Lonchura striata: one gene and its partners. The protein of the gene in region 1 interacts with the protein of each later gene in a biochemical or structural test. Links are inferred from orthologs where the notes say so. Each region holds a gene or a part of one and is shown in the gene's direction. Other genes may lie near its edges.

Region 1 (6,965 bases):
TGTTTTTGTATGAAATAACTTTTCCCTAAGACACTGAAAAATCTATAGAGCAACTTTGCCTGTCTTTGAAAAAAAAAAATCAGAAGTGGGGTCCTATTATTTGCTCTTGGGTACCCTAAAAAGGAGTTTGAAGCTGCCTGGAAAGAAAACCATAAACATTTTGGAAACCAGGTAAATATTTTAGCTGCCAAAGTTTGAGTTTAGACACTTAGCTTTGGAAGAACTTCAAAGAAAAGAAAAATCTTAGACAAGCATTTAATCATATCCAGCATGAGCAGGAGAAATTTTTGGATGGGACAGTTGGAATAACAGGGAAGAATTGTTGATTCCCATTGTCTTTCATGGAGAAAACCCTCGGTGATGTGTGTGGTTGAATTTGGATTTAGGGAGTTTCTCCCCAAAGACCTCTAAGACTTGAATGTGTGGGCTTTCATTTTCTTTCATTTTTTTCCCTGCTTTAACTCCATGTATTTTATTGCTGTTTCCATCAGCGGCATGTTGGCAGGTCCTGCACCTGGAGAATGGTGCAGTGCTGCAGAACCTCCTTCCCCGGGGTACCCATGGCCTCCCCTGCCATCTGCCAGGAGCTGGGGCTGCTTCCTCGCTGGAATTCCACGGAGGAGCCGCTTCCCGCGGAGCTCTGCCTGCCCTGATATCTCCAGCACTTAAAAGAAATGTCAGAGAGTCTGCGGGGATTAGAAGAACTGAGAGAGCTCTGTGCTGTGCTTTTTTCCGAGGTGACTTTTCCCGCATTTCTCGGAGGCGCTGCCTGCCCGTCTCACCCCATCTCCCCGCAGACACGAGCTGCTTGCCACCTGCTGAACCTTCTGCCTTCATCCCTTCCAGCTGGGCTTCTATGGATGAGCTGGTCCAGCCCAGGAGCAGCCTGAAGTCGGGCACATCTTTACCCCCCCAGGTAAAAGGGATGTTGGGAGGGAATGAATCCATTCCCTAACTTTTTGCCTTCATCCCTTCCAGCTGGGATGAAGGGATGAGCTGGTCCAGCCCAGGAGCTGCCTGAAGTCGGGCACATCTTTACCCCACCAGGTAAAAGGGATGTTGGGAGGGAATTAATCTATCTCCTCAGTTTCTGCCTTCATCCCTTCCAGCTGGGATGAAGGGATGAGCTGGGCTCTGCTGGGTCCAACCCAGGAGCTGCCTGAAGTCGGGCACATCTTTACCCCGCCAGGTAAAAGAGATGTTGGGAAGGATTGAATCCATCTCATCACCCAGCTGTGCCCTCGCTGCAGCTGGAGCAGGGCTGGGACCCTGCTCCTGTTGAACATTAACTCTATCCCTGCCTGCGTGCAGAGGGAGGACTGGAGCTGGGCTGACAGCAGCGACAAAGAGCTGGCAGGGCTGAAAGATTCAATTTAACTTTCTTTCTCCTCCCCCGCTTCCATATGCGAGGGCACACAGCGCTGTTCCTGCTTTTGAAACTTGCGGGGCAAAGGAGCATTGGTGTCCTCATTTTCCTTCCTCCCTATTGATGTATCATTGCCAGGATGAAAAAGGACGTCTCAAGAGCTTTTGAAAAAATGGGTGACTACTCAAGACATTTTATAAAGGAGGAAGAATGGGAGAGAAAATAGGACTCGGTAGGGGGTAGAAGGAGCCTGAATGTGTGCCTTGTCTGTCTATTCTTTAGCTTGAAACCTGGAGCTGTTGTTCCTATTTCAGTTCAAACTGTCACCTTTAGTTCATGATGGCTTTACTGCCCTTGCTCCTGAACCTCAACAGATTGGGGCTTATTTACCTATTCACACTCTGCTGTGGAACCTCATTAATAGGCTTATTAGCCACACCATTCACGTGCAGGAGGGCTCACAGAAAGGATCCCAGCCACTTTGAGAGGAGGAGGAAAAAACTGTAAAGAGATTATGCTCTCATTCAGCAGCCTAACTGCTATGAAAGGCTCCCTGGGCCCACTGAGATCTCTTGAAGCCTAAATATGATGACAGAATTGATCCCCCCCCCCCCACCCCTTTAATTCCAAACATGCTTCTGCTTTTCTCAGATTGAGGAGCTGGGCTGTTGTGGGCCACTTTAGGAGAATGTGGCTCATTTAAGAGAAAAGGCTGCTATTGATAGACTGCTATCTTTTCATCCTCCAAAAGAATAAATTCTGACAAGTGCTTCCAGACCTTGGAAATAGGTGTTCTGACTTGTCATTTTTAGTGGAATGCTTCCTTTTCTTTCAGAGTATGCAAAGATATCGATGAATGGGGAAAGGTATTGCAGCTTCCTGTGCCGGACAATAATTTATGTGAGAATGTGTTAACAATGTTTTCAATGGGCGATGGACATGCCCGGTGCTGGGAAAATTGGATCTTGACTGTGACATCTCAGCTTCTCAATTAGTAACATTCAGATGTCTGTTGCTTTAGGAACAACAAAAAAACCCCGCAAAAACAAAAAACGAAACCTGTGTTTCCAATCAATTACAAATTTGTCTGCCCTCCCTCATAAAGGCTGCAGTAGTGGTGGGAAAATACGTGCTGGGAGGTAAGTACAGAAAACTTGAAGTTTTTGGTGTCTAGGTGTGTGGAAATAGTCTTACACTACGATGCGTGGCCTCAGTCCTTGAAAATCCCCTTGATCAATACTTCACACAACATATAAAATGTACAGTAGAGCTTAAATAAAGTAACATTAAATTGATCAACACTGATTAAATTTGAGGCAACCACCACTTATTGATTTTGTTGTCAAGCTGATTCTACACAAGCAAGCATTACAGACTCCATATTCAAAACCTTTGAATGGTTGATGGTATCTAAAGCAAATGTTTTATTAAGCAAGGATCAGGCTAAGCTATATTGAATTCTGAATACCAATATTATGCAGTTTTAAATCCGTGTGGCCAAACAAATGATGTTTGCATAACTTTTCGACAACTTTTCCCATTTGGGCACCACACGGGTATTAAAAGTGCACTGTCAGACCAACTCACGGGGCAGCTGGAATCAAGCTTTGGATGAGAGGCTCCTGAGGGTAATTTTTGGAGCGGGTGTTATCCAGCTACCCTCTCTGGATGGGACTGGCCGCTGGCCAGCCGTGGCTTCTGAGCCAGAAACACTGCAGGAGAGGTTTCGGGGACAACTGCCGAGCTGGTACCATTTCAGCGTGAGGATGCAGACGCTGCCCAGCGCCGGGGTGGCGGTGCCGCAGCCCAGGCTCACCCGCTGCGGCGGCGCTTTCCGCGCACCTCTCCCTCTCCCTCTCCTTTCCAGCCCGCTGGAAAAACTTTCAGCGGAGCAGCCGGCCGGGAGCAGCGCGGGTTCCTGCCCTCGTCCCCGCGGCCGCCCCGGGATGCGCTGCCCCGCTGCCCCGGGCGGGCAGGGCCGGAGCGCGGCTCCCCGCTCCCCTCCTGCCCCGCGCCGCTGCTGCCGCGGGGGCACCCGCGACCCCCGGGCGGGGTGGGGGCTCCCGGCTCCGCACCTCCGAGGGCTCGGCGGCGATTGGCAGAGCCCGGCAGCGCCGTCCAGGAAACGGCTCGGGTTGCAGCGGGGGGAGTGACCGGGGGAGGAGGAAGGAGCCGGAGGAGTGCGCCGAGAGGGGGGGAGAAGGGGGCAGAGAAAACCCACCTCCCACCCGAGGGGGCTGTCGGCGTGACAAAGCTGCGGCGGCTCGGGGCGGGCGGCTGGATGGAGCGGAGCGGGACCCGCGGCGCGCTGCTCGGCGATGCCCGCGCGGGGGAGGAGGCAGCTGGCGCCGGGCACGGCGGGCTCGCCCCTGTGAGGCGGTAGCCGCCGCGGCCGAGCCAGGGCACGGCACGGGACGGGGCGCCGGGCCGGCTCCTGCCTCGCCTCGCCGCCCTCCTGCCTGCCCCGGGCGCGTCCCGCGGGGGATGCGCGGCGCTGCGCCGCTGCGGGCTCGCCAGCCGCGGCCGCCCGCGCCGTGACCGCGGCCGCAGCCGCGGGAGTTCCGCCCCGTCCCGGGAGCCGCCGCTCCGCAGCGGAGCCCGCCCGGCGCTCTCGCCGCAGGTAAAGGCAGCGGGCGGGCCGGGGAAGGGCGGCCCGGGGCAGGGCTGGGGGTCCCGCCGCGCTCCCGGCTCCGGGCGGGGCTCGGGGGTCCCCCGGTGCGGGGCTGGGGGTGCCCGGGCCGGGATGCGCCGGTGCGGGGCTCCCTTTGCTCCGCGGTGGAGCTGCGGGTCGCGTTGCGGTCGCTCGGTCGCCGCTGCGGTGCGGGGGGAAGCCCGAGCAGCAGCGCTGTTCCCCTGCCGTTCCCGCATCCCCGTGGGTGTCTTCGGGGATGGTTCCAGCGGTGACAGCAGCACGGGCGGAGGAAGGGAGGCTCGCCCCGGAGGAGCAGCCCCGCCTCGGTAGCGGCCGCGGGTCGGAGCCCGGTCCTGCCCCGCCGTGCTGCGGGAGCGGGGCTGCGGGGCACAACCGCCCCGTCTGGGACAAGGGGGGAGAGAAATCGTCAATGAAATATATATTTAAATGCAAAACGGCCCCTTCAAACTGGGACCCATTATGCGTTTGGTGTGAAACGCTATCAACATTTAAAACTTTATTGTCTCCTTTGTACCAAATCCCTGTAAATCTTCCACTAGCCTTTTCTCATTTTCATCTGAAAAGCCTGTTTGGGCTGAATAGACAGCAATCAGCAGCCTCTGGACTTCTCCCGCTCTCTGGAATGTCAATTAAAATGCAGATTTTTCTTCCCCCCCCCCTCCCCGATCTCTTGGTGGCAAAAGACTTGAGAAAAACAGGATAGTCCTGGAAAGCAAATGAAAGAAGTTCAAACAATGAAAAAGTACTGAAGCTGCCAGCCGGTTCCCATTAGTCCTTCAGAATTAATGTTTAATAGCTGTGATACTCAGATTTGCTTGGCGATTGAACTCTGCTGAAGAGTCTTGTTAGATATATATGTGTATGTATATTTTTATAGATGGATGTATATTTCTGCATTTTCTGTCCATACACAATTCTTCTGTCAGTGGAATTGTGTATATAAAGCTGTTAGCTTTAAAGCTTCTTCAACCTGGATTTTTTCTGACGAAGCTACTAGGCTTTTAGAGCCCTTGAGGTTTCTTTGTGGAGGGAAGATCCATATTTCACTCAGATTTTGCTATTCCCCGCCTAATTGAGAAAGATGCTGAAAAGTTATACAGTGACCAATGCATTGATTTGGTTAACATACTCTACAAATCGTGCTGTCCCTGGGGAGTGATAAACATCTTATAAACAACAATGCAAGTAGATTAAAAAGAACACTGAGAATTGAATTTAATTAATGTCACTGCTGAACAAGTACTACTTGTTTGTGTGTGCGAGTGTGTTTAAACTGAAGTGCAGCTTGGAGGAATTTGGTTGGGCTCCCAAACCAGTCTGCTTTCCCATGCTTGTCAGTTTGGCAAAGAAAATTTGGGCAGGTATGTGACGAGGTGAAAATTGACTTGATGAGCGAGTGGCAAGGAGAGCCATCAATCATTGGGGGCTGACAACTCCTCCCCAAAGTGTAGGCTGAGAAGAGAGACAGAGTTCCCTTTCAAGGGGAAAAATAAACACTACGTGTGGCTTTCACTGAGTCTGAGACTCCAGGAGGGATTATGGTATTGTAGTCAGGAAGCCAGAATTGTGGAGGCCAAAAAGCATGCTGGGGCTGTGTTCCAAACATTGAGATAGAGGTACATAATTATCCAGCACAGGAGGTCTTTCCAGGGACTCGTCCCCCAGCAACTGTGGCAATTAAACTATGAAAAGAATTTGGTGGTTTCGTTGCATCTTCGCTGGACTCCACTTCTTTTGGGAGAGGGCAATCCTTGAAGCCTGTCTGCTGTCCTGGTGGTAGAGTGGTTTGGCTCCATGGATGGGTGCAGAGCTCTGATTTTTGCATCGTTGCGCCTTCGCAAGGCAGGATTTTGGGTTTGCTGCTGCCCTGTGGATGAAGAATCCCTTCTTTCTGCCGGCAGATGTTGAGGTGCAGGAGGCAACAAAAACCTTCAGGTGAGGAGACGCGTGGCCAAGTAGCTTTGTGCCGCTCTTCAGGATTTAGGGTGAGGATAGGAACCACAAATGTGCTGTCAGTGGTGTTTAGTGTAGTCTGAAAATCTGAAACTGCAGGAATGTCAGTGGAATTAATGCTCTTGGAGTTTGAAATACATGCTGGCGTTCTGGTATGTTTTCTTTCTGCAAAACCGTGATAGGATTTTGCATTTATCAACATAGGCTTTAATCGGAGTTTACAGGATGATTTATGGAAATGAAATCAGCATTACAGCCAGGCTGTTAATGAGGGGTTTCTACCCACTTTACAGCTGGATAAACTGAGCTGCAGGGCTGTGGCTGCCAGACAGCGAGGTGGGCAGTGGACCTGGGTGGTGGCATCCAGGGGGGTTTGCTCCACGCACAGAGTGGTCCCAAAACCAGAGCTCTCTTCAGCTCTACACCTGCTCTCTGCTTATTTAGAGAAGGGCCGGGCAAGCTCTTTGCAAATGTTTGTGCAGTGGTCTGGTGGTGTTTTCGCTGGAAATGTAATGGTAGTTGCTAGCTTGTGGTCTGGGATGCTGGAGCCGGGCTGAAATCTTTACAGGAAGGGACAGGGCTTTGAGGTGATACCAACGGAGTTGGAAAAAGCTTGCCCTGAAGTAGCAGGGATTCATCTTGTATTGTTTTCCTCAAGTGATTTATTTATGTCATCCAAAACCTGTTTCTACTGACTCCAAAAGTTACTGTGTATAGTGCCCAAGATAAAAGATGCCCCAGCAGCATTTGTGAACTTTGTAGCAGCTAGCGCAAGGCTAATAAAAATCAGAATCAACTTTTTAAATGGTTGGCTTTATAAAAGGAGAATCTTTGTCCCTGTTTCAGCATGCTGAGGTACCACACCAAATCTTAATGACAAGAAGTTTGGAGAAGGTTTACATTATCTCCACACTCCCTTACTTCTTCTTTTTTTTATTATTTTTTTTATTTTTTATTTTCAAGTGTTGGGGGCAGGAGGGAAAAAGAGGTTTT
Region 2 (8,049 bases), on another chromosome or scaffold:
GTCACTATCAGGATACTCCATTGTCCAAGTGAAAAAAGCCTGGATGGATTTACCTTTGAGTTTACTATTGACTGAGATAGGGTATTCTTAGCCTTTGCTTTCCCTAAAATAAGCTATATACAACATATTTGCTGTAACTAATTAAAATAAAAGGAATTAATTATTTAGTAGCCAAACTATTTGATAATTTGAGCAGGGTTTTTTTCCCAAGTATCTACCACATCCCATTCAATTTTTCCTGTAGATTTAAATCAGCTCAATATGAACTGGATGAATAGGAGGAAACAAAAAAAGGAATGATGTTGAAGCGATCTGTTTTGAAAATTGCTTGGAAAAAATTGCTGTTGTCTTTTCAATATGATTTTAATAACCCATACCAGTTAGCAAAACCAAAAAGACATTCTTATATTCAGGGAGACAAAGGATTCATAGTTACAGTTTTTAATCTCAGCCTTACAACCTGAAAAGATCAATCAAAACTGAGGTGCAATATTCCTTGTCTCTCTTGTTTTTACTGCCTCATTATATGAGTTTATTTTCCACACATGTTGCTGTGTTTCTCAGATTCTGCAACGTTGATAAAAGATTTGCTCAAACTCTAGCACTTTTCTTGTATCTCTTGCATGCAATAACAGTCAGCCTTGATCTGATGCTGATTTCTGAGATGTGGAAACTGTGGATAAAGATTGAACCACTAGAATATTTAGCACCTTCACATCCATGGTATTTTTCCCTAGAACCTTCCAATCCCAGAAGTTTAGCTTTTGCTGCAGGGCATTAAATCCCAAGATCTTGGGTTTAAAGTCAGATACACAGATTTTTATCTTCATACTCTCTTAAACTCTGCAAGTTCTGGGAGATGTTCTAAAGCAAATTCTAAATGGATCAGGAAACAAGGAGGAAGAGATGACGATTCTTAGCAGTGATGTGTTGCCCTAAGGGCAAACTTGACAAAATTGAGGTTTTTTAAAAGTCACATTCATGACCCAATGCTACAGTTGGGCAGTAAATTTGCAGCAGCCCAGCCTGGAGATGAAGAAAGCATGGGACCTTGTGTTATCATCTGAAAGGACAAAAAGTAACTTCCTATGTAAGGAAAAAGGGAATTATCTTTATAAAGTTATATTTTAACTGGAGACCAATGCCCAGTCTTTACAATCAGAAGCAAAGTGTTTGCAACTAATTTCCACTTCCCTTTTCAGCAAGTGCATTGTAACAAAAACTCTTATCAACATTTTGGAAGCACCAATGCATGCATTCAATATTAAAGGATGGCTTACAGCATGTGCATTTTGCACATTTCCATGTTTCCTGTGGTCCTGAAACCTGAACACCTCACCAAAGAAACAGAAAATCACAAGCATTTTAGGTGGAAAATTCCTATATATTATTAAAGAGTTGCTGGACATGCATTTTGTTAAACAGATACAGCACCAAGCATCAGTCAAGCTAAATCTTCTCTAAACATAAAGCAATTCAATTTGAGAGACATTAGTTATGCTTGATTTATCAGATGCATGTTGGGCCATTCAGAGGCTTGGCAACACACGCAGAGAAGCCTGATGTACACATGCACATCCCTTCATTAAAAGATACAGAACTGGACTTGTTGCATAGCAAGACATAAAAATATGTAATTAAGGAAGACTGCAGCTAAAGCATGGTGGAAAGACATTATTCTATAATTACAAAATACAAGGATATGAATGTTAGCAGCAATAATTAAATAGTAACTGCATTGTTCACCAACTAAAATTGGACCTAGTGCCTTATCTAAGCCATTTCTCATTTATTCTTAACTACAAAAGTTTCCAGAGATCTGAAGTGAGGCACCACTTAAGAAAACTCACATCAAGAGATTTATTTTTTCAGAGCCAAGAGAAATACATACTTATGCCTGGACCACTAATAGCTCCAGCTTTCTGGAATTGAAACCTCAGGTATGTATTTTTTCTTCTGGTACTAACTGTCAGAAACAATAAATTAGCAAGGAAAAAGAAAAATTAAAACCAGTATGGATCTGAAAGTGCAGGTTGTTACTGAACATAAAAGACCTAGAATATTTACAAAAACATTTCTACTTACATCCTATTTTGCTGAGTAAAACACAGATTACCTTTTATCCTTGATTGCTTTCTTTATAATACACAACAGATAAGCCTTTTGAATACCACAAATTTTTTTCATTGCTATCATTCTGAATTCAGACTGTGGAATGGGTCAGAGAACATGCTGATATAAATCCAGCAAATGTACTGTAAAAGCCACAAGTGGGATAAGTCACTTCAGTCCTCACTCCTTGTCAGAATGGTGGCATGGGTTGACAAGACAGAAGTCAAACCGGAGACAGCTGTGATCACAGTTTACAAGAGTTAACTAACGACAGCTACTTCTTTGTGTATCAGCTGCAGGTAGGCAGCCTTTGAAAGCCCTCAGCAGTACATCTTTCATATCAGAAAAGTGCATATACTGAGTCTTTTGCTAAAGTAGGAAAATGAGGCTGAGCTACAGAACACAGAAAACAGCCCAGTATGCTGAAATGGGGATAACAACAAGAAAAATCTATCAACTGTGGACTATAGTCATATAGTGTGAAAATGGTTAAAAAAGAATGCAAAGCAAGTGACAAATGGGACTGATCCATGTGGGTGCTGACAAGGAGGCTGTTGATATTAAGGAAGGAAATTACTCATTCTCTCTGTGTATAGGAAAGGCTGAGTACTACAAGTTTGCCTGGTGTGCCTTTTTGTTAATTTTGGATCAGTCCAGTAAAACACCCTGTTTACTTATGTCCCACTCACCACAAGGTGGCACATACGTACTCCCTGGGATTTTTAACTGCTTCTGCAGTTCACTTAATTTTTAATTAAGAGGGAGAAAGGGAGTGGGGATGGGATAAGAACATGGAATCATAAACAGCATATATTATTAGGCAGAAACTATTAAACATAAGTAAAATATTCTTAACAACTGGATTAATTCCAAACTTTCCTTGTTGATATTACTTACTAAAGGGACTGATGTGTTCTCACATCAACAGTGGGGCAGTTAGAAAGGATAAAGAGCTACTGAAAACTTTGCTTCAACGAGTTTTACAAATACACTCAACAGAAACAACAGAATTTCAGGGTGAAATGGAGCATGGGCAGGCCAGTGTCAGAGAGAGAAACAGGTACACAAAAGCAGAAAACCAGGTGTATCCACTCATTATTTTCATTCTCTAGATCTTAAGCCCATTGCTTGGTGTGCAGTATTAGGGGTTTTCTTACATTGCTGCCAGTTTTCATTCTCCCTTTCCGTGTTTCCAGAACTAACTACATATGCTAAGAAAGGCTGCTCCCTTGTAGCAATTTTTCCTTCAAGCTGATAAGGTTGCGTTTGAATGTCAGACTTTGAAACATCCAAATATACTTTCTCATTTTCACCTAGTGGCTGATCAAATAAAACCTCAATGCAGTGGTCCCTCTTTTCAAATCCATGCTATAAAAATATACCTCATGATCTCTAAGGGCTACAGCACACCCTTCTCCAACGTATGTAACAGACCCATGTCTCATATATCCTTCAGAAAGGCACTTAAGCAGACTATGAATCCACCAGACTGCAGAAGAGATTTGAAAGCACACTGAGATAAGCGTGTGAGTACAAAAGAGAGGAGGCGGAATTTTTTAAGGACAGAGAATACTGACCTAAACCAGAGCACAGAAACACTAACTAGCATGTGAAACAATTCTATCCACGCAGCACAAAATATACATTTTTAGAAAGAAGATTCTTGGAGATTTAAACCATAAACTATGTACATAGCTCCCTCTGATGACCACTGGACACGATACAATGCAAGTCTCCTTTTACTTTTGTTCGTGCATTCAACTGACAGCTGACTGGTTAAATTCTAATTGCTTCCAAGTGAGGTCAGCAAAGGTATTTATCGAAAAGGACTGAACAGGCTCAACACACACATGCACGCGCACGCATAAGCACATACACATCTCTCCAGCCTGTTGATTTATGGAAACAATTATAATTCTGGTGGAGTCTTTCTGAGCTGAGAAAGTTTGTAGCTACAGTAGAGTGTCTCATGTTGCAAAAAGGAGACAGCAGAAATGGAGTACATGGGTATCCAGCTCTTATCAACAGGAACAAGTAAGTTATTTGTCCTTTACAAGATTATTCAACAGTTTCTAATAGCTAGTAACTTATTTTTATTTCTGCATGCTAGATGCTAAAAAAATAATTAAGAAAACTATTTTTACTAATAATCTGAAAAGGGTAGGAATAAAACACAGGGCTAAAGCCATGAGGTCTGTTTTGAAATCTGAACTAGAGAAAACTTATATGATAGATTGTGCTAATAGTAAATATATATGTAAGATGTAATCAGGAGAATTTTATCATGCATGAGAGTTGAAATGAATCAATATGAGATTTTTGGAAGGACTTAAAACTGAAGAAAGAACTGTGTTTACAATCAGTGTAAATATCTGGTTATGTAAAAAGTTTTATGAGATATATCTATCGTATATGCATTAGTATATTTTTTAAAATGAGCTCAGCATGTCATGTATTTTTGTGTAGTACTTTTCATTAGCATAATGTATCCTTGCACGTTTGTAACAATTGAGCATAACGACTTACACATGCACCTTTTCTCACAGATCTTTTACTTTCAGTGCAAGCAGCAAATTCAAGTAGTAAAGAAGGTCACAGCAACAAAGGTTTTTATAACTTGTGTCTTTAAAGGATATTCTGACTGAAGAGATATTTAAGAAGCTCTTCTATTTCGCCATTAACATTAAGGAATAACGATCAGAATTCTAGAAGAGGGAGCAATCTCACTTAAATGAATCTGTAACTCATAAAGACAGAAAGCAGGTCGGTGACCTAGAAGCAACAGTCTACTTGAGATTTAATTTTCATTATGTTGTTCATGAACACCCAGAACACTGCACTATAATGCACAAATGGATACTGACATGGATCCTGCCAATTTTGCTCTACAGATCATACTTTTACATTATCTTTCTAATGGGCACTATATCTTTAGCTTGCAATGACATGACTCCAGAGCAAATGGCTACAAATGTGAACTGTTCCAGCCCTGAGCGACATACCAGAAGCTATGATTATATGGAAGGGGGGGATGTAAGAGTGAGAAGACTTTTCTGTCGAACTCAGTGGTATATGAGGATTGATAAACGAGGCAAAGTGAAAGGGACAAGAGAAGCAAACAACAACTACAGTAAGTAATATTTTTGCTTTTCCTAAGTTTTTAGAAATTTACATATAATTTTTTCCTATCCATTGATCTATCATAATTCCAGAAGAGTTTTGTATCATGTACTGGCCATTGTGTAAAACAAGTTTTCCAATTAATCGTACAGCAGGACATTTGCTATTGATTTTGAAATGCGTCATTTTAAATACTGCATTGTAGATCTGTTAATGTATTAGTTACAGCTGGGAACTATTAGCAAACAGAGAGCCTATTTTAACAAGTGAACTAAGGTTATATGTACGAAAATGTATAACAACCAACTCTCCTCATAAAATACTCCTGAAACATTAAACCACTTTTATATAGTGCACAAACTACCTAAAAGTTTGGTGTGTTTGAGTTAACAATTAAAACATAGAAATACTAGAAAGTTCAATGGAAAGAATTATGTAAACTCTCTTGCAAAATCTTTTAGACAGTTTGCCAAGCCAGGAACAAAATCTATTATAGTTTCTGCAGTTCATTATTACAATAATCATGATGCTTAAAAAATATTCTCCCCCCATTCTTCTAAAACCATGACTCATCTAGAGAGAATGGACATACAATATTTTATGAAGCTGTATCAAATACAAATTCTGAATTGGAAAAAGAATTGTTGTACTAATATATATTTTCCACATAAATACCTATATAATCTTTGATTAATATTTGAAGACATCAAGTTTTACAGTCACTATTTTTGCCACTTTGTCTTTTGTGTTATTACAAATGTATTGTTTATTCTTCTGCTTGAAAAGGCATTACTTTATTAAGATGCAACAGGAAAATACATAGGATTATACAACATACTTCAAAACAAAATTATAACAAAAAGACCACCAAGGACATGCTGGTCTAGTGCTTAAAGACAAATAAAAGGACAAATATATTTCAAATAATTGCTTTTAAAAATTATTAAATTTGTTGGATATAATAGTGTGCTTTTTATAATAGTAGCAGCAAAAGAAATCCATAAATCAAACTTCAAGAACTGTTAGTGTGTGTCAGCCTCCAGCTGAAGCTGAGTGCTTGTTTTCTACCAGAGCAGCACTTTGGCGTGCTCTGCGCCTGCCTAGTGGGCTTCATCATTTATTTCTTTGCTTCATGACTACATTAAGTGCTTGGCAACTTGTGTGGCTAAAACTGCATTCACTAATGTCACTGTTTCTTTTAAAATTTGTTTCCATATGTCTCCTTTCTTCTTACACTATTACATAGTGAATAACCATATTCCTCTGAAAGACAACATATGGCCAGCAGCCAACTAAATTATTTGGTCCATATTCAAGAAGACTCCCTTTGAGTTTCAGGAGGGCATTGCTACAACAGAGATCCATAGGAATAGTTTTGAAGTGAAATGTTGTTCCCATAAAAAATCATAAATGGAAAAAATGTTACTGACTGTTTAAGCTGATTCTTCTGAATTAATGCAGATAAGTGAATATTCACAGTATCCATTTTTTTCTGTTATTATTTACAATCACATTATGACAGCATCTAGAGCTAAGTAATTTATTATACAGAGTTGCTTTTTTTAGCTCCATAATTCGTAAGTAAAACCTTGTTAGCAATTTAGCATTATTTCAAATTCAAGCAGAGGTTCTCAGTTCTCTGAGGGATCCCATTCTGCTTAAGCGCATTAGCGACACACTTAAACATTCTGTAGGGAGCCCATCAGAGAACACCACATCCCCTTGTGCCAATGATGTAGTCTCTTGCAGTTTCCTGAACACTTCAAGATAATTCAGTCATGGTAACTAACTATTATGAATTACAGAAAGGGAATCTTGAGTCACTAAACCCTTATGTTTACATTATAGTGGAAAAAAAACCCCAATCCTTTTTCTGGTAAATGTAATGAGTATGATGAGAAAAACCATGAAATTGTAATGGTTATCTGCTAACTGATGTGCATTGTGATGAACCATCTTTAAATTGGCAGAAGCACATAGGATACTCCCACCATCTTAACTTTAATTTATCTATAGTATCTTAAGGAATAACACCCAAATGCTTTTGTTGAACAAGTAGATAGGCAAATATAGACAAACAGGACTAGAAAAATGTGAACACTGATAATCTGGATTTTCTCAGAAACTAAAGAAATTAGTACCGCAGCAATATTATGGAAACACTTTTTGTTATACCCTTTGTTCAACAGAAGATGTAAAGACCCTTTCTGAAGATGTGCCTATGGCTCTCTACCAAAATCAATAACCACAAAGAAAATGATATGAGGGGGCAAAAACCAAAACCAACAAAAAAAACCCTGAAAAAATAATGCCCACCTGGACTTGTACACCTTCCTTAACGAAAAAAAAATAACATTAGAAATTTAAACAGTATATTTTTATCCAGGTTCTCTGAAAAGTGTAATTTTAAAATCATACAGATGAAAAGGATGTATTTTTGTGTGTTCAAACATTCTTGTTCCATGATTTCTTAGGATGGAATGCCAGAACTGCTGTAGTCAAACTAATCAATGGACATGAAAAGTGTTGCTCCAAGAGGTTTCTTCTCATTTTATCCCAATTTTCCACTTACATAATAAATAAAAGAAACTGCTTTCCCTTTTGAATGTGCTGCTAAAATTAAATAAGAAATAAGATCATATTTTTACCTATCGTAATTTAGCTTCATGAAGGAAACTGTCCTGAGAGTTTTGTAGCTCAAGTGAGCTACTTCTTTTCAGGCCATGAGGTGTGAAGCATGAATATTGTGATTCACACTGAGAAATGCCTGTAGAAGGATAACTTCATCATAACTTTGGCAAGTGCCAAAATTCATAG
Region 3 (7,131 bases), on another chromosome or scaffold:
CAATGACATTCAGTCCCTTTGTTAGAGGGCATGAACTACACAGTATAAATATTTCAGCAAGCAGCACTGTATCTCAAATCAAACAACTTGTCTCATTGGTGGCTGCTGCTACATGACACTGCCTTTTCTTTGTAATTCAGAGATCCAGTGCCACAGACTGGGACAGAATAGAAAGTGTCCCAACAGAAAAGAACCTGGGGGTGCTGGTGACAGCAGCTGAACATGAGCCAGGGTGTGCCCAGGTGGCCAAGAAGGCCAATGGCATCCTGGCCTGGATCAGCAATGGTGTGGCAGCAGGACCAGGGCAGGGATTGTCCCCCTGTGCTGGGCACTGGTGAGGCCACACCTCGAGTGCTGTGTCCAGCTCTGGCCCTCACTGCAGGAAAGACACTGAGGAGCTGGAGTGAGCCCAGAGAAGGGCAATGGAGCTGGGGAAGGGTCTGGAGCACAAGTCCTGTGAGGAGCAGCTCAGGGAGCTGGGGGTGTTTGTCCTGGAGAAAAGGAGGCTCAGGGATGACCTTATCACTCTCTACAGCTGCCTGAAAGGAGCCTGTGGCCACATGGGGTTGGTCTCTTCCGCCAGGCAGTCAGCAACAGGAAGAGAAGACACGGCCTCAAGCTGTGTCAGGGGAGGCTTAGCTTGGACATTAGGAAGAATTCTTCACAGAAAGGGTGATTAAACATTGGAATGGGCTGCCCAGAGATGTGGTGGAGTCACCAGGAGCTGTTTAAGGAAAGACTGTATGTGGCACTCAGTGCCATGGTCTGGTTGACAAGGTGGTCTTAAATCACAGGTTGGACTTGATGATCTCAGAGTTCTTTTCCTACTTAATTGAATCTGTGATTCTGCGATTCAGTGTTTTACAATACCAAGTTCTACAGTTTGGATTTGACATACAGAGGAAAGCATCTGAGCCATTGATGGCATTTGGCATTCTACACCTTGCTTCTGACAGAGATGCCCCTCTGGCAGTGACAATCCTGGCTGAAATCTCTCTCAATGAAATCACTGGCAAATTTCCCAATACCTTGAATAAAAACAAAATTAGGTGATATGACCAGAAGATGCATGTGCATCTCTCGTCATACTGAAAGCAGCAAATGTTCATGATCACAATCTAGCAATCTAAACTGAGGGGCTACTGACATCTGGGAGTAAGTTGATTATATTAACACCCAAAGACATAAACAGAATTTATTTACATCACCAAAAAAGATAAGACCTTGACTAAGGGAAATCATGCAAGGCAAAATTTATTCCAACTACATTATATATTTTCTACTTTTTACAATTTCTTTTGGAAAGTGTTTTTTTTTTTTCACTCTTGATGGGTCAATGTAATTCATAATTTATAAAACTGCAGTGCGGGAGATATTTTGCAGAATTTTACAATGGTAAAAGGCAAAACAGAATTACTGTTTTGAGCAGCAGGTACCATTTCTGGTCTAGGACTTGTACTGAAGGTAGCTGCTTTTCAAGCTTAGCAATGGAACAATTAATAAAGAAACCCATTAAGGTCTGATTGTTGCTACTAAAAAGGAAGGTTGAATTTCAGGCCTTTGAAGTAACTGAGAATGATTCAGGCCTCATTACAGAGATATAATCTACATTCATACATTTATGTTAGTGATTCAAATCTATTGGGACAGATTGAATTCCGTTAAATAGTGGATCTTTCCTGTGGAACTTTTCTCAGGCTTTCTCAGGCTAACCTAAGAGGTGACCTGACAATACAAAGTACTGGGGTATTTAGGGATTCAACTGTGCTATAAAAGAAAGGCTATACAGAAGGTAGAAAAAAGAATGAGATATAATCTAAAAAGCTATGTCAGCTTTTCATTTGGACTCTGTTTTGTAAATGCCCTCCTTGTCATCACACAGGATAGAAAAGGACTCTGTGCCTTGCAGTAGTTTAAAGTACTGCCCTGAATATTGCACCTGCCAGAAGCAAATCTTATGTGAAATTCTGTGCATGTTGAATTTTCTGTTCTTAAGCACAAAATCTTGCAACCAATATATAGATAGTCATGAGCTAGAAATACAGCAAAACTCTTCCTGAGTAAATTCAATATAGTACCTATTTTTTTCAGGGTTAATTATAGGTGTTTAACCCCCAAATTATTTCTAACTCCAGCCAGAGATCCTAAAATGCCAATTCACTTTATTTTCCAACATTTGCCATGAAAAAGAGAAAAACAAAAAAGAAAGACAAATTCAAATCTAAAAGTTTAATATATTATAGAAATTTTTTATAATTTAAGCTGTTAGAATAAAAATTACTTCAATTTTAGAAATAATGTCTTCATGACCCTGGCAGCACTCAAACATTGACCTAAGCTTTGTAGACACACATGTAAGATGTCAGGCATTCACAGAAAGGAGAGGTTTGCTTTACATTTTGTCTTGCTACTCTACTTTTTTAAAATTAATTACCAAAAGGAAAAGCCTTTGGCAAAAGGAAAGCCTAAATCAGATTTGTAAAAAGAAAGATTTCTGAAATGCTTTGCACTCAGTGCAAATACATGCAGAATAAATAATCTGAAGTACCATAAACAACATCGTAAAACATATTGATTTTAACATTAAATGGTTTCATTTTTAAGGCTGTTTAAATGTCACCCCCAGCAGCTGAACACATAAATTTAGGAACCAACTCTCTCCAGAATAAACACCACAATTGGAGAAAATAATTTCTAATTTCTGTTGTGAAGTAAACAATATATTTAACATCCTAATCTAATGAATCTGTCTAATTTTAGAACTGTTTGTTCTTCCTGCATTTTCTGTTGTTTAAAGTAAGATTTACTCCAAATGCCAAATGAAATCACAAAGGAGGTTTTCCACTGCATTCCACTGATCTGCATTATTTAACTGCTTCTATTTCAAAAAAGTTTTGGGCTTACTTATTGAGCTACTCACTGTGTTTCTGTACCTATGTCCCTAGTATTCCATTCTCTTAGCAAATGTTCCATCTGCTTGTGTTCCAAAACAGCTATTTAACAGTGCTAAATACTGATTAAAATATAATAGCTTGCATGCTACCCATACCCTGTCAGTTCCTGATGCTTTTTTCCGGTATTAAAAGATAGTATATAATATGGAAGATGCTTGTTGATTACAGGGAAAGTTGACAGTTCAGTAATGGGCTAGAAATGTGATTCTTACATTCAATATGTGAATGTGTCATAACATTCAGTATGTGAAATGATAAATCCACTGGAAGAGATGGAATCATAGGAAGAACCAACATATGCCCCTCCAGGAAAATAATAGCTTGAAAAATCGCTTAAAATAGCCTTGAAAATGGAAAAATTGTTTCTTTCTGGCAAGGGAAACTGCATTAGTTTTAAAAAAAATTTAAAAAGACAGAAAAGTATTCAGACAGATTTTATGGGGAAACCTTTGCAATGCCAATAAAATCCCTTTTGCTTTGAAGTCAGACGCGTGATTCAGTAAACGACTCATGTTAGCAATTAGAAAATGGTCATTTAGGGCCCTTATTTCTTTTGAGACAAGGAGAGTAAGGGTGGGGAAAGAGACACAATAAATCTTGAGAGGCTTAAAAGGAAGAACAGGCTAAAGTGTGAACTTTTTATTTCAGCAACGGAAGCGAGAAATCAGTGATTCATTGAAGGAGGGAGAAAGACCTCCATGCAAGCTGGCAGAGAAGAAGGAAAAGGAGCTAATTATGTCTCTTCCCTTTTTACTCTCTCTGACCAGCATATAATCTGCCTTTCCAGGGTCTGCCTGTAGTATATACTCCTTTCCAACCTCTCCACCCAACCCCTCCTCCAGTCGGGGGGAGGGGGAGATCTAGCAGGCAACAAGCTCCAGGTGGCTTTCTCAATCACTTCACTGCCAAAAAAAATAAAATAAAACCCTCCACTAGAAAACAAGTTGGGGTTTTGGGGGTTGGTTTTTGTTAGTTTGGGGAGGTTTTTTAAAAGAGGAGGTTGGTTGGTTGAGGTTTTTTTATGGTTTTATTTTGGGGGGGGGGGGGGGGGGTGTTGGGAGAGAGAGAGTGGGGGAAGAGTGAAGGGGGAGGGAAGCCTCGCTGGAGGGGATTGGTTCAACTTGGAAGACAGGGAAATTAGTAAAGCATGAGTCTCTAAGCCATGCTGGTGGCCGGCGCTCCGAGGAGAAGGACGCTTTAGGAGCAATTAGCAGCGAGCCGAAGGCGGCGGCTGCCGCAGCCCGGGAGGAAGCGAGGGCAGCTCCCGGGGCTGCCTCCGCAGCAGGCACTGCTCGCTCCAGCTGCAAAAAGGTTTCAGATGTCCCACCACTGCCTGACCCCCTGCAAATAAGGGCTGACCACCAGAGGCACATCCCACCTCTAACTTGTAATCGCTGACATTTAGGCTAGAGCTTCCAACCTGTTTACAACCGAAGGGGGAGGGAAAGGAAAGGAAGGGCGGGGGGAAACGTTGGGATTTCTCCTTCTCTCTTTCTTTTTTTTTTTTTTTTTTTTTTTTTTTTTTTTAATTCTGTTCTGGAGAATTCAAAGAAAACAAAGAAACTTCCTTCTCTGGGGTTGTCAGTGAGAAAAGGACGAGTTGTGCAACTGTTTTGGGATTTGGAAAAGGCAAGAGGGTGGGGATCAGAAGAAGGTGCAAAGCCACAAAACGTGAGTGCGCGTGTGTGTAAAGGTGTATGTGTGAAAAGTCCATTCCGGCAACCCCTTTCCTCTGGCTATTATTTTTCTTAGTCTTGTTTTTTGTTGTTGTCATTGACTTTGCTGTCATCTATTTTTCAGACCTTTCTGCATCAAAGATGGTGAAGAAAGGAGTGAGGAAGAGAACAAAATAACTACTGGAAAGTCTCAAACCAGGTTGGGGAGTGTGTGTGCATGTGGGGGGTGGGGAAGGGAAAAAGAAAAGAGGATTAACCACAGCAACCCCCCCACCCCAAAAAAAACCCAAACCAACAACCAACAGCTCTTTTTTTCTGAGGGAGGACTCGAAGGATTAAAAGGCAGCAACTTCTGAGGCGATTTGTCCCCTGAGTTATGGATGTTGGTGCACTTACTTCAGGCCAGATCAGAGCTCAGAGGAATCTAACCAGAAGCAGCAACCACCGTCTCTCCACTTGCCTTTTACCAGGTTTTACCCTTCCAGTATGTTTCATTTGATAAGACATTTTCCAACGCCCAGAGTTTCAGTACAATGTGCAAATGGATACTGACAAATGGTGCCTCAGCCTTTTCCCACCTGCCTTGTTGCTGCTTGCTGCTGCTCTTCTTGGTGTCTTCTGTGCCTGTCACCTGCCATGACCTCGGCCAGGACATGCTGTCCCCGGAGGCCACCAACTCCTCTTCTTCATCATCCTCCTCCTTCCCCTCGTCCTTCTCCTCTCCTTCCAGTGCGGGGAGACACGTGCGGAGCTACAATCACCTCCAAGGAGACGTGCGCAAGAGGAAGCTCTATTCTTACAACAAGTACTTTCTCAAGATCGAGAAGAACGGCAAGGTCAGCGGCACCAAGAAGGAGAACTGCCCGTTCAGTAAGTACGGCTCTGCCGCCGCGCTGCCGGGCAGGAGCCGCGGCGCCCCGCGCCCGAGCCCCGGCTGCGCAGGGAAGGGAGAGGGGGCGCCGCGGAGGGAGGGGGCGCACGGCAGGCTTGGGTGGGCTCGGCTCGGCTCCTCAGGGCTCGGCTCGGCCAGCCCGTATCTGCGAGTCTCTCCGGTTACATTTGTTTTGCAAATGGCCTCGCTGAGCACCGTCTGTTTCTTCGCCAGGCAGAAGAGCAAATTAGAAAGATTTGCAAGGAAGTGGCGGGGAGTGTGTGGGGGACATTGTCTCCTGAATCTGAAAATCATTATTCCCTGTCATTAGAGTGCCTTGACGAGAGCGCTGCATTGGAACAATTAATCGGTTGCCCGCACGCTCCTCTCCCCGAGCCGCCCGCTCCGCGCTGCCTCCTCCCCGCTCCCGGAGAGGGGTGTTTATTCCTGCGGCCGGGGTCTGCCGGGGTGCACTCTCCGCAGCGGGGGTGCCCGGCGGCGCTGGAGCCGGTGCGCGGCCGCGCTGCCGCCCGCGGTGCGGCGGAGGCGGTGCCGTGCTGCGCCCCGCCGGTCCCGGGCTGCAGCGCCGCTATACCGCTACTCGCTCCATTGTAAACATCTGGGGCTGCCTTCCCACAGACCTCACACGCGTTTCATTGTCCCTTTTTTTTCTTTCTTTCTTTCTTTCTTTTTTTTTTTTTTAAATAAATTATTTCAGAGCAAAAGTCATACGGCAGTCTCCATAGCTGATGTTTCGAGCTTTTCTCTAGAATTAATTAGATGCATAGTAATAGGATGCTTCTGGTAATGTATTTTTGGCTGCTAGTTCTAGAAATGTATCCTTTACTTGGTTTTCCTGCCTGTGCAGTCTCAAATTGATCTGTACTAAATCACAATATATTGTCTTCTCTTAAAATCTTAACTATGTCCCACTATAGGAGCATGCTGAGAAAGTAAGCTCTGTTGCGCAACTCAAGGAAACTCTAAGGCTTTCTTCACTGGTAAAGAGCCACATTTTGGTTCTTGTGTTGTTTTATGTAAATCCAGATAAACCCGTGAATAAATCTGCTGTTAAATTAAAACAACTGAAAGTGAATTAAGTCGATCCCTTGTTTGCAAATGTGTAAAATACATACAGCAGGTTGCCATGCTATATGATAGACACTGCTGTTAATTCAGCTGTATTTCTAATAAATACCCATAATATAACCTTAGAAAAAGTGATAAAAGGGATGGAGTATCATGTGTTGCTGTTCACTTCCTCCACCTTGCAACTTCATGCTTTATCACTTACTCTAATGTTTGTAAATGCTTTAGATGTCAAAGCAGCTGAATCTTACCATGTCCCTTTCTGTATTACATAGAAAGGCAAAATCTTAAAAAACAGCAGTGAGAGAGGCTTAACTGATGAATTTGTGAGGAATGAGGTCCTAGAACGGTGTTTCTTAGATGACCCTTGGATTTGGAGGACAGCACCCCTAAAATGGGATTCTGAAAGCTTTGCATGCATCTCCGAGAACATCAAACCATTCTGTATAGCACACTGCTGCCGAAAAGGGCTGTAAGGTGCTCACTCTGACAGCAGTGTACTCAGGCAAGTAACTACATATCTAAGCAGTCCCACTTAGCC

Evidence for each region. The genes of interacting proteins can lie anywhere in the genome.
Region 2: the proteins of FGFR2 (region 1) and FGF7 form a complex in vitro, tested with the Homo sapiens proteins (3 studies listed by BioGRID). The link is inferred for Lonchura striata from reciprocal best matches to the Homo sapiens genes FGFR2 and FGF7.
Region 3: the proteins of FGFR2 (region 1) and FGF10 are reported together in a solved structure, tested with the Homo sapiens proteins (3 studies listed by BioGRID and IntAct, with this or other methods). The link is inferred for Lonchura striata from reciprocal best matches to the Homo sapiens genes FGFR2 and FGF10.

The regions. Positions count from the first base shown.
Region 1 is NC_134609.1:28,086,733-28,093,697, reverse strand, and holds the start of FGFR2 (fibroblast growth factor receptor 2), read left to right. Parts: upstream 1-3,895; 5' UTR 3,896-3,986; intron 3,987-6,965. UniProt on the Homo sapiens protein: Tyrosine-protein kinase that acts as a cell-surface receptor for fibroblast growth factors and plays an essential role in the regulation of cell proliferation, differentiation, migration and apoptosis, and in the regulation of embryonic development.
Region 2 is NC_134613.1:14,254,114-14,262,162, forward strand, and holds the start of FGF7 (fibroblast growth factor 7), read left to right. Parts: upstream 1-4,956; coding exon 4,957-5,242; intron 5,243-8,049. UniProt on the Homo sapiens protein: Plays an important role in the regulation of embryonic development, cell proliferation and cell differentiation. Required for normal branching morphogenesis. Growth factor active on keratinocytes.
Region 3 is NC_134642.1:34,761,778-34,768,908, forward strand, and holds the start of FGF10 (fibroblast growth factor 10), read left to right. Parts: upstream 1-4,038; 5' UTR 4,039-4,265; intron 4,266-4,481; exon of another isoform or gene 4,482-4,625; intron 4,626-4,754; 5' UTR 4,755-4,829; exon of another isoform or gene 4,830-4,954; 5' UTR 4,955-5,163; coding exon 5,164-5,500; intron 5,501-7,131. UniProt on the Homo sapiens protein: Plays an important role in the regulation of embryonic development, cell proliferation and cell differentiation. Required for normal branching morphogenesis. May play a role in wound healing.